3 linked regions of the Danio rerio genome follow. The protein of the gene in region 3 interacts with the protein of the main gene of each other region in a biochemical or structural test. Links are inferred from orthologs where the notes say so. Each region holds a gene or a part of one and is shown on either strand. Other genes may lie near its edges.

Region 1 (4,314 bases), on a different chromosome or scaffold from region 3:
TAAAATTGTTTTAAAAACTACTAGCTAAAAAAATAAGAATTTTGTTTGCAAATTATTTACTATTAAAATAGTGCTAAATGATTATGGTTCATAAAACAGGAACGGATGCATGTAATGTTATATCAACAACTAATATATCAACAACTAATAAAAATTTTCTAGATTTCGCTACACTAATGCAACAATGAAATTTACATTTGTTTGATGTGCTACAGATTAAATTCACATAATAATAATACAAATTATTATTATTATTATTATAGGAAATTCAAGTGCACATATCCGACACGTAGGATTATTTAATTATACATTTCTGTAGCTTTGAAATTGTTCTGAAACTAATCATTTTAAAATTATCTGATATATTTAGCATAGTTTTAGTGTGGGAACAAATTTAGAATATCACAAAAATAGGATGTGTATGATAACATACAGCCAGCTTAGCCCCTTTATTCATCACATGCATCACTGATTTAAAGTTTGAATTCGGATTACAGCACAGCTTCAGGCTTAGAGCATAACTTAGAACATACACTATACAAGTAAAAATAATAATAATAATAGATAAACCCAACACGATAAATCATATTAAGTTATACGTACCGCAAAAACAACGGAGGATAAAACAGCTGAATTTGACAGATTAAGCAGCTGAGGCCCAGACTCGTGCACAGACTAAACACTGTTCCGCAGGAAGAGTGAAAATGAAGTAGAAAGATCACACTCCAACAACACGCTGTCTCCGTTTGCATTTGGAAAAAGTTCAGCTGCACAAACTCTAAAACGAGTCTACAATTACTTTGTTTTGAAAGCGAGTGGGCAAAATGATGTCAGCAGTGAATTTAAACGAGAGAACACGCGCAATGTCGCGAACTAGTCACAATCGCTTTAGGTTTCGCTTTCCATTCTCCTCCAAACTCTTCAATTTCTGTCTGACACTCACTTACAAGACGCGTTTACACACGCTGGCAGCAGGGGGCGCCCTGTCTGGAGTGAATAATCAACATATTACAGCTTTACAAACAGTAATTACACCATGCAATTACTACTAATGCTAATATATTAATTAGGATTAAAACGCAGATAAGTTGAAAGAAGTCACCCCACGGTGAAATAAATGCAAAAATGTAGTATAATAAACATACAAAATCACACAGGACTACTGTATCCATATTGCTGAATATCAGTTAACAGCAAGATATATTAATATTGCATCGCACTACTCATTTTATCATAGCCGCTGAACTATTGGTTTCGTTTCACATTTCACCAGCCAGCAGACTGAAAGCAAACCTCCACCTGCGACCCTCCCAGATGCATAATACATGAGGTTACAGTACCGTGACCGACATGAAACTGCACTGCAGTTTATAACCTCCTACCGAAGACTGAAGAGGCAAAACAACATCTTCAAAAGCGCGCGACGGTGAAAAGGATCTGGGGACGCGCGCGCCTCTACTTCACCAAAAAAAAAAAGTCCGAAAGAATACGGGTCACGTACGGACACACGTCTCCCTCGGGCGCTTCATAACCCAGTTTATCCACACAGTCGCGCAAAGTTGCAACTTTTTAGCTCAGAGCTTTAAAAGACACATCATCGTATAGACATTATGGCTGTTTTCGTCGTATCATTATTCTTTAATGCTCGATTTAATCTATTATTGATAGAAGTGACATCTTCATTATTTCTCCCTCAATGCACATTATATGCGCCATACAAGGAGACGCTGTCACGTAATGCGAATTATTGAACCAATAATGTAATGTACATGGGTGAACTTTATGTCTTTTAGTGTATTTAAAGTATACTTTCGGTGTAAGGTATAAACAATTAGACTATATTTTTAGATAAGGGTTAAGGCTAGGATCAGTTGTAGATTTAGGGATTGTAACTAGTTATTAATCAGTTTACGTTAAGTATGTGCAAACAAAACAAGACTGATATATATATATATATATATATATATATATATATATATATATATATATATATATATATATATATATATAATTGTTAAGTATATGCTATTTATAACATTAAGTCTATGAATTAGACCAATACATATAATATCCAGTATTAAACTAATGGTAAAAATGATTATTAGACGACAGAATGGTAACGTTACTTGTTGGTTTACTGTTATAAATGCATGTATTTAGTCATTGACTAAAGATACTTTAGACTGCATTCATCATAAAAGCTGCTAAAATAGTGGTTAAGTTACATTAGATCACAACGTAGTATTTTTTATTATTGTTGAAGTAGAATTTAAGTAATTTAAGCTTTAAATAAAAACATTCATGCATTTAAAATAAAGTAAACCCCAAGACTATGATAATATCACAGCACTATTTTTGTTCTTTATAAACCAGCCACTAGCATAATCATCTTGAGCCATTTCAATTAACAAAAAAGAAGTGGTTAGCAAGGACACTGGAGGTTGACTAACGTTAGCCCCAATTTATTTCGACATACCACAATACAAATAAACAATTACAGTCAGCAACAAATCATTTTCTACTCTGTAGTGCACTTGTAAACATTCAGCATGATAAACAGACACAAGACTAGAGATGGGGGAGCGAGCGCAGAACGCGACGTCAATGGTAAACAGAACGGGAACGAGCAGCTTCCAAGCGTCTTTCTCTCACTTCGCACACATCCAGTTCTGCATAAATATTGTTAATAACTCGCAGCTGGGGGGCGTTAGTATGGCGTAAATATACTTACATACGCAGACGACGAGCACAATCCAGCCGCGTCCCTGCCAGAGGCCACATGCAGATAGAAAACACAACGCTGCTGAATGACAATGAAGTGTGGCGCGGAGCTGCGACGCTGTTTTGACGCTCTCTGATGACGTGTGCGACGTCGCAAGAAACCGCAATGTGATCATGGAAGCACGATAGGTCAGTGCTGAAAAGAAACAGACTTCTCTTTGTTTAGAGCGTTGTTTGATGTGAGGTATTTGGTATATGTATTTAGTTAATATCCATCGTTGTAAACTATACCTAGTAAAAAAAACGATGAATGTAAGTATGTTTATATATTTTTTCAAGCCATTTTAGGGGGAGCAGGGGAGTGCTAGGGGCTCTGTAGAAAATTATAGTAGTGTAGTGCCAAACTGTTGTAAATACATATGTGTAACATTCATTAAATATTATTAAGAACATTTTTTATTGATAGATAGATAAACAAATAAACAACGGTAACACTTTACAACAACAGTACATGAATAAAGATGCGTCTATATGTAAATTAAACATTACTTTATTGTGAATTAGTGATTAAGGCATTCACTAATCATAACTTTAAATACAACATGAGTCGCATGAGTTCATATGTGAATAATGGCTACTTTAGTTGTTTGTACATGTTGTTAATGAATTTATTATTTAACATTTAAGTTTAAGCTAAATTTAACCAATATGATCTCATGAGCTGTTAATGTATAATTGTGTCATGACTTTACTTGAATGGGTACATTATCATTAACTCATCCTTAATTACTCATGAACTCCTGTATTTAAACTGTTCGTGTTGATGTTGACAGAATGCTTTTCTATTGTTATTCAGGGTAAACACACTAGACAGATAAGCATAGGGAGTTTATGAGTAGTTAAGAATGGGTTAATGATGATGTGCCCCTTCAAGTAAAGTCATGATATAATTATACGTCAATATCATGAGTTCATGACGGCTAAATTAAGCTTACATGAAAGTGTAATTAATATGTTAATTAAACAATCGTAAACTAACAAGTAATTAAGGTAGCCGTTATTTACACATGAATTCTTGTGACTCATGTAGTTAAAGTTAGCTCATGATAAGTGCACGCATTAACTCATCATTAGTTCATAATAAAGTAATGTTTAGCTAACATATTAACACAGCATTATTCATGACTACTGTAAAGTGTTATCCAAATAATAATGCTAATAAAGCTGAAAAGGTGTGTTTTTATAAAGTAAACAAACCTATGTTTGGACAAACACATCTTGACTGAATAAAATTATAATTTTAAACACATTTTTACAATAAATAAATAATTTATTAGACCTAAATAGATTTTTTTAAGTGTAAAAGTGTAATATATAGCATTATTTTCAATAAATAAATAAAAAATTAAGATAATCTGTACAATGAAGAATGCACATTACATGTTAACAATTATGTCTTGAATGCATAGAAATTTACACTCAAACCTACAATTTTCAGTTGCTAACAAGCATTTGCTCAGCCAGTTGTCATAATTTCAAAACTCTAAACACAATTAGCACAGTATTGCTCTTTTGTGGCCAAACAATTCACAC
Region 2 (4,431 bases), on a different chromosome or scaffold from region 3:
AATTAATAATGCACAAAACTGGAATATTGCATAAAAGATGTGTGAATAAAACAGTTTCCATCCAACAAGTCAAAGCAAACAAAATCGTCACTTACTAATTATATGGTGGCAACAGTAGAAACTGAATTGGCTGTGGTAGAAGAAGCTGCGTGAATCTTTTCTTCATTTAATAAATGACTTGCGCCTCAGAAGGCAATCCTGACACGCAGTGAACGAGTAGTGACATTAGAAGGCATAAGATGCGGAGCACAGATGCTCTTGATTCTGGAGGTTATTAATAATATAATAACAATAATATTGAAATAGTTAAGCCGTTTTAGAATCACCTAAACAACATGTCAGATGTTCACAGGGTGCTCAGCCAGCTGGTTTATTCATTCACATATTTTTATCATCACATGATCTCTTATAACAAAATCATATGACTTTAATGCATATACTGAAATATATTCGTTAAAAGCGTTTCCATCAGTTTATGCGCATCTTTTTATATCGAATAAAAAGTTTATCCTACAGTTATGCGCATAAGTTTTTATACACATTTTGGCGTTTCCATCAACCAGTTTTTTATGAGCATATCCATAATGCGCATAAAAATAAGTGGATGGAAACAGCTAGTGTGATATAAAGTGCTCTTAGAATGCAGTTACATGGGATTTTTTATTTATTTATTTTTTAATATATTAAAAAACTAGGGCTCCACGATACTATAAAAAAAATAGACATTGAAATATTTTTATTCACTGCGATATAAATGAATATAAATTTATATAATTTAAATAAATTTCAGCAGATGACAAATAGCTTGTAAAGAACTCAATTTTAGATCGACTGGGATGATTCTGTAAGGGAGCATATCTGCATAAAATATAATTTAAAAAAATTACAAGCAAAGTTAAATACAACAGAGAAAAGATGCAAACAAACGAGGATTTATAATTTTCTGGGGAGTCAAACAGTATTCAGAAGCCGAAATTAAATGATCACTGTATAACAACAACACTATCATTTTAATTGAGTAAATAACTACATAATGTCCAATCAGTCTTTAAGCTACAAACGTTTAATGTATTGTGCCAAAATGGCTTATATTTGCTTCAAATTCCTACAGTCAAGTCTTAAAAACAAATGCAAATAATACATTTTCATTCGAAGGTTAAAATTTTTAAACAACGCCACTATGTTGTTAACCGTATTGTCTGATCAACTACATTGCAGATCCCTGTGATGAGACTGTTGTGGACTCACATTGCGATATCAATGCTGAAATCATCTACTGTGCAGCCCTAATATAAACCTCAGTTAATGACTTACATCTTGAAAAGCTCCTCCTCATCCTCTTCTAAGGTCTTAACGTCCTGCTCGGGTAGTGAGACGATGGGCTCAAAATGAGGGTCATGGTTGGATTCCTCAACGTTCTCAGTGGATGGTTCATGCTCATCTTGTGCCTCCTGGAGGGGAAAATTAAAAGAGCAGCTTTTATTAAATCAAACTTAAACATGACATAAGCTAAAACAGGTATTTTTGGAGAACGCCACACATTTACTACAGTATTTGTTCTGCTGAGGCTCACAAGTCCTGATCCCTTCTGTGGGGATCCTGCTTCCACATTACTCATCAGATCAGTGGAGTGAAAGGCTGCGGGATTTGGAGGGATCATTCTCTGGAGTTTGGCCTATTGTCTCCAAATTTGCTGCTGCAACCAAACTTGCATCCACTGGTGCTTGAACTCGCATGCTGTGATGCTGGCGGAATCAATGCACTTGCTCTTCACTAATCACTGGTCTCACATTCATGAAGGCCTTGTAAGCTTTAATTATTGAAAAGCTTTCTGATCAACTCTGGCAGATCTTCTGCACATGATGTGATGCTCTGAACCGCTCCCAAGTTGATCACTTCGCATTTTCAGAGCTGAGCAGCTTACTTAGCTAAACGACTGACTTGACTGAAGACCGGATATCAGATGTGTATGAATTAATGTGGGAGTTAAACGAGTTTTCAAAAGTGGTCAGTCAGTTAAGTTAGCATCCAAGCTAGAAGCTGCTAATAAGCGGCCTAAAGGCGTTTAAGTGCTCGACTCGTAGTTTCGCAGCCCATATTTTGCACTGCTTGAGCAAATACAGTTAAATCACGTAATTAACCCCGGAAGAGTGTTGATAAACCGGGTTTGAACTTCACGTGCCGCAGGTTAGCAGTGCTAACACACAAGCTAACAGTGCGTTAGCATTTCAAGCTTTCGAATTAAAGTATGAGCCGTTTTTACTTGGAGCATGCGAGGAATATGTTTATTACGTTCCTAAAAATCAATATTTGCTTGTCCTTTGTGTTTAAGCAAGTAGCGAGTGCTAATCGACACAGAATAATGAATTTTAATAACGTTACTGGTGCTACTGAATGTAAAGCGTGATTGTAAATAAACAAACGACTTTGACAGCGTATGAAAAAGCAATAGTGAGTATTTAAAATGACACCAAGAAGTTCTAACGTCTGAATATCCAAGCGCACAATGCAAAACCGGGAAAACACCTGCTTTTTACAGTCTGTTAAGTAAGACCCTCATAAAACATTTATCGCCAACAAAACAACCAAAATAAGCATCTCTCGCTGTTCGAAAGACACAGAGGCTGAAGATGATGGCCCTCTTACCTTTGTGTCCGCCATGGTTTTTGCAGATGTTTTTCGATTAGAGAGAGTATCTGTTGGTTTTGATCAGTGCGAGCTCGTGAGATTTCACTTCGCTACTTTCGCGCGCGCATAACCGGAGAAGAGAGACGGTGACGTCAGCGCAGCCGCGCTACGTCATGGCGCACTTCAGCTACGCACAAAGTTCTGTTAAATCCTAAAAGAAATTATTTGTTATCACTCAGAATCTTCACATAAATCTAAAGAATTTATCTTTAACTTTTTTATCTTGTTTAGATTTTTTTAAACATAAGCAAAAGTGCATGGCTTCAGTCCCTACTTTTGGACATTTTCTGATTGAAGGTAACTCACTGCTCAAATCTTTCCGTATGTGTCAAAACAAAAAATGTGTCAAATTACTGGTTCTATATGAAGAACTGTTGTCTATTGACTCTGCGTTGAGTTAGATAGCTTTCCTAATGCTCTTAATTTATTTTCATACACTTTTTTTACAATTGTAATTTACTTTGTTTTGTTATTCTTTTTTCTTTCTTCAGCTTAGGTAGTTTGTATTTTTTTCTCTCCTTTGTATCTCTCTCATATCAGTCTCCTGATTGTGGTTGAATATTAGCATTCTTTAATAAATAAATAAAAAGTGCTGTTAAATACATGTTTAGAGAAATTCGGTTTTGGGCCCTTCTTTTGTAAGGGGATGAGTACGCTGTATGACGGGGGAAATAGCTCAGTGAAATGAGGACATTGAACTACACAGAGATTTCTATTAGAAAGAGGAATTCGGCAAGGCTGTCCAGCCTCTGTGTACCTGTTTCTCATAGTAGCCCAAGCCTTCTGTCACTAGAATCCAAATTGCTAGACGAAATGTTTTAATTAGTCAGTAAGCAGACGATACAGCCTTATTTGTAAAAGACTCAAACCAGGTTCATCAGGTTATCAAATCTATTCAGTTGTTCTCTAATGCCTGATGTTTGCACCTAATCTCCTCATAAATTGTGAAATATAAAAATTCTCCCCTATTATCTGTAGAAGGTATACCAGTTGAAGAAGCTGTTAACTATTTAGGTGTTGTCATTTCAAAAAATGAACAAGATAGAGTGTCTATTTTGTGTGTGTATTGTTGTTATTATTTACTTTCTATCACCCTGGCATTATTTTACTATACTGTCACATATTTGTTGTTTAACGCATATAATAGAAAAAAAGAAAAAAGAAAAAAAAGTTCTGTTAAATACTGTAACAACAATAAAATCAAATAAAATTACTTCAGAATCCTACATACAGTTTACCCATGTGAATAAGATCGATATGGATGATATGTGCTGCTTCTGTAAAGCGGATAGAGCATCTCACATTTAGACCTGTTTGAATGTAACTTAATTTTTGAATGTTGAATATAGGTGTGCCTAGCAAAATATGCCTTTAGACAATGTTTGATAATTATGATACAATAAAACATTGATATTTTTTCATATTACAAAAACAAATCTAATAAAGATCTGGATTTTTTTTGATAACCTCTATTGGCAAAATGTCATATACATAAACAAAAATGTGCTAAGTCATCTCCTATGTTAACGTTTTTTTTTATTTTCATTTCATTATTTCTTCTGTGAAACTGCTGAAAAGCAAAATATCTGAGATATGTATTAAACGGGCTACTGCAAAAAAAAGAAAAAAAAAGAAAAAAAAAGAAAGTATCTCCCCGATAATCTTTTAAATCACTGTACACTCTGTTAATTGTGTCTCTCTCTGTGTGAGTGTGTGTGTACCTGTTTTTATGTTCCTTGTATT
Region 3 (3,655 bases):
GTTTGGATCTATAAAACTACCTTAAAATGTTTTACATGCTGCTTTTAAGAAAGTATTCATGGTGCATTAGTGTCCTTGTTATGGTCACTAGTGTTATTAGGATCATCAGCATTTCGACTGTAGGGATTAATAAGAAGAGGCAAAAAACGTGAGACAAAAATGTTAATGTGTTAAAGGAAAACAGAAAATACTGATGACAGAAGGATATTAAAGGTTGAAGGCCTGGAGAAATAGGTTACTTGCATATGCAAAGATTTCAGGGTTTCTGCAGGTTTCACCAAGTTAAATTTAAGACTTACGACATTTTTAAGACCATTATCAATGAAACTCAAAAATGGGCTAAAGACTTAGGCTTTTTTCAAATGGCCCAGATTAAAAATATTTTTATTTGACCTATTAAAAAAAACATATTATAATTTAATACATTTAATAATACAATAATAAATAACATTAATAATAAACAATGAAATAAATTAGATTTTATTTCTTAGCTAAATAATTTAAATATTGTGTAAAAACAAGCAAGCTCTACTTTCCATACACTTTTTTTCCAACATAAACTTTCTTTTAAAAAAAATAAATGAACAAAAGCTTTAAAGTTTTAAAAACAAATTATAAACTTAATCTATGCGCAACATTCCAACAGTCCAGGTCGGTGTCATCAGCAGAAAATACATGAAGAATTTTAAACAAATGTTATTGTAAAAAAAATTATTAAACCATTATGATAAATAGAGTTAAAAATGACCTCTATAAAGAGTTTAAAGTTTTACTGAGATGGATTCTTAGTGATTGTATGGGTTTTGGCTAGATTGGGTAGCAATATATGAACAAAGAAAAATTAAGACCTGTTTAAAAAACATTTAAGACCTACAACATAATATTTCAGTAAATTGAGATGTAAGATTTTAAGACCCCACAGAAACCCAGTATTTCACCCAATGAAAATCACCAGTAGGCGTTCACCTTTAATTGTCCCAAGAATTCAAATAAATATTAACATTGCAACAGCATGCAAAGTATTATATTTTGACTGCTCACATGTGATGTTGCAACATTTCTTGGTGCATGATTGGGAGAAAAATTACAGGGCCAGGATAGAAATGCAGAAATGCTTAGGGAGAAAACGGATTGCACAGCACAGACACTGATAATCCCTACAGTGAAAATAGCTGTAACCACCCATGATTGGGGTAGAAATAAAAATGGGGTAAACTGCCTGCCTATCTCCCTGTCGTCTCTCAGCTCCATATGAGGCATGTGCAGTGTGAATGGAGGCACAGCAGAATTGAGAGTAAGGGAATGAAAAGGTAGACCTTGTGGAGGCCTGCCGCCAAAGCCTAGCTGTGTCAAGGTGCACAGGAAGACACACCCCTTTTCGTCCTATTACAAGCAATCAACATAATGGAACATTGTGATTAATATCAAATATGAACAACTTCAATTAATTGAATTTGTTTGCTTTTTCACCGACTGTAAAATAAATTAAGCAAAAAGCCAAATGTTCAACAGCACTTTAAAGCGCTCGTTCTGTATTTTTCTTGATCAATTTAGACAAATTCAAAGAATTTACCTGCTCTGTATTTTTTCCTGTCTGTTCCTCTAGAGGCCTCACTTTTGGGCCATTATCATTTTGATATTATCGATACTGTTGATAAATCAACTCAAACATTAGTAATGACCAGAGTGTTAAGAGCAATCTTAAAAAGGCAAGCAGACGGCAAACTGGGTCAGCAGTACTTTGAGGAAGTCTATTAACACAGTGAGGAAAACCATTCATCCCAAATACAAAAAAGACTTAAGGTTTTATCAGTGCAGAAATGTTTACTTGTAAAACCAGAAATTGTACATGGATCCTCTGCTTTCCTTTATATAAAAATGATAAAATAAGAATTCATGGATCACTGTTTTAATACATCCTGACCTCAAACAGTCAGTCATCAAAGCACCTCTGGCTGCTGTACAGATGGAGGTACTGAGGCATTTCACCGTCAACAGAGGATCCTCACACATCAACTTTAACTCTGACTTTTCTTGACCAGGAAACGAATGCGAGGAGAGTGAAGGAAAATGTGATCTCACATGTGCACAAAGGAATCTGTTTCTGACTTGATGCTAAGCAACCCCAGTACGCTTAAAAAAGGGTCTTGCTTACATAAGGCAACCTTCCTGGTTCGAAAGAAAGAGCCAAAAACCAAATTGTGATTTTGTATGATGTGTGATAAGAGATCAGATCTTCCTCAAAGTATAGAAACCATGACCCACCAACTGGAGCAAGTTGGGTCTCTGCTTACTTTGGTGTTCATGTTTTGAGAGAACTCTAGAATGGTGTCGACTCGTGTCCACGCATCTGGGTGCTCCTTCAAATGAGTCAGCACCTCCTGGGCCATTCTTTGCTGAAACAAAAAAACATTCATCTTAACTTGTATAACACTATGGTGCAACAATATACTGGCTGAGTGTTAATGATGTCAGTGCATTCACTAATGTATATAGTAAATAAACAAACACTGCCATTTAAAAAGTGACATATATATATTTGTACAATTGTAAAAAGCTGCCAACTTTTTATATTATTTTTGAGTACAATTTATTTCTAAGATGCATTTTGAATTTAAACGAAAGAAGAATATTTTCAGTGGTAACAGAATGTCACAGTAAGGTTCCTCATGTAAAAATACATAATTTCTGCAAACCCTAAGGATTTTAAATAACTAATAAAAATAAATTAATTCAATTTAATCCAATTAAACAAAATTTTTCATTTGTTTGTTGTATTGTTAAGCTACACAAAAGTAAACTCAAATTTAATGTTGTAAATGAATCTGTTATATATATATATATATATATATATATATATATATATATATATATATATATATATATATATATATATATATATATATATATATATAAAACATACTGTCACTCAACAGATAGAGAACAATGCAGAATACATCAGTGAGCAAATCAATGCAAAGGCAGGTGCAGATTTACTACCGTTTTCTGCATGAACTAGGCCTGAACGATTTGTCCTAAAACCTAAATCTCGATTAATTAAACATTTTAACTCGATTACGATTAATGAAAGATTGTTTAATTTATTTGTTTTATGTTTTTGCCCTCATAGTTCACTGACAAGTTTTGTACAGTAAATGTGCTCACATATTACAAGTGAGAGATTTTTGATTGTGCATTACTTGATTAAAATTAAAGGAAACACACACTATCTACTGTCTATGATTATTTATTGAACATCAATATTGAACAACTGAGATAAAGACAAACAGTGCCTAAAACGCGGCTCTCCACGCCGCGCACCCACGTCACCTCTACCAAACTGACCAATCACAAAGCTTGTGCAACGTGTCGTTGTGACGCGCAATTACATTTTTTTGAGAAGTGTGCAGGTATGTGAACGCTTTGCTGGACTGTATGTGCCCTTGGCAGAAGTATAAAATGGAATATAATAGGATAAATTGGCCTTGAACAAGCGGGGTCACGTAACTCAACACATGGTAGGGAAAGTAATTGAAAAAATTTACTTGGAAAAATTTGATCAATTACAGGTTCTAAATGTCGATTTCGATTACTTTTCGATTGAGCTCCTTTGTGTTATAAATGGAATTATGCTTTCATTGTAATTTGTTTATCT

What was found.
Region 1: the proteins of xpo1b (region 3) and adar form a complex in vitro, tested with the Homo sapiens proteins (2 studies listed by BioGRID, with this or other methods). The link is inferred for Danio rerio from reciprocal best matches to the Homo sapiens genes XPO1 and ADAR.
Region 2: the proteins of xpo1b (region 3) and ranbp1 form a complex in vitro, tested with the Homo sapiens proteins (3 studies listed by BioGRID, with this or other methods). The link is inferred for Danio rerio from reciprocal best matches to the Homo sapiens genes XPO1 and RANBP1.

The regions. Positions count from the first base shown.
Region 1 is NC_133191.1:24,822,201-24,826,514, reverse strand, and holds the start of adar (double-stranded RNA-specific adenosine deaminase), read right to left. Parts: upstream 2,818-4,314; 5' UTR 2,732-2,817; intron 1,429-2,731; exon of another isoform or gene 604-1,428; intron 1-603. UniProt on the Homo sapiens protein: Catalyzes the hydrolytic deamination of adenosine to inosine in double-stranded RNA (dsRNA) referred to as A-to-I RNA editing.
Region 2 is NC_133180.1:19,738,309-19,742,739, forward strand, and holds the start of ranbp1 (ran-specific GTPase-activating protein), read right to left. Parts: upstream 2,818-4,431; 5' UTR 2,662-2,817; coding exon 2,647-2,661; intron 1,452-2,646; coding exon 1,315-1,451; intron 1-1,314. UniProt on the Homo sapiens protein: Plays a role in RAN-dependent nucleocytoplasmic transport. Alleviates the TNPO1-dependent inhibition of RAN GTPase activity and mediates the dissociation of RAN from proteins involved in transport into the nucleus.
Region 3 is NC_133192.1:25,319,342-25,322,996, reverse strand, and holds part of xpo1b (exportin-1), read right to left. Parts: intron 2,397-3,655; coding exon 2,295-2,396; intron 1,649-2,294; exon of another isoform or gene 1,574-1,648; intron 1,384-1,573; exon of another isoform or gene 1,317-1,383; intron 1-1,316. UniProt on the Homo sapiens protein: Mediates the nuclear export of cellular proteins (cargos) bearing a leucine-rich nuclear export signal (NES) and of RNAs.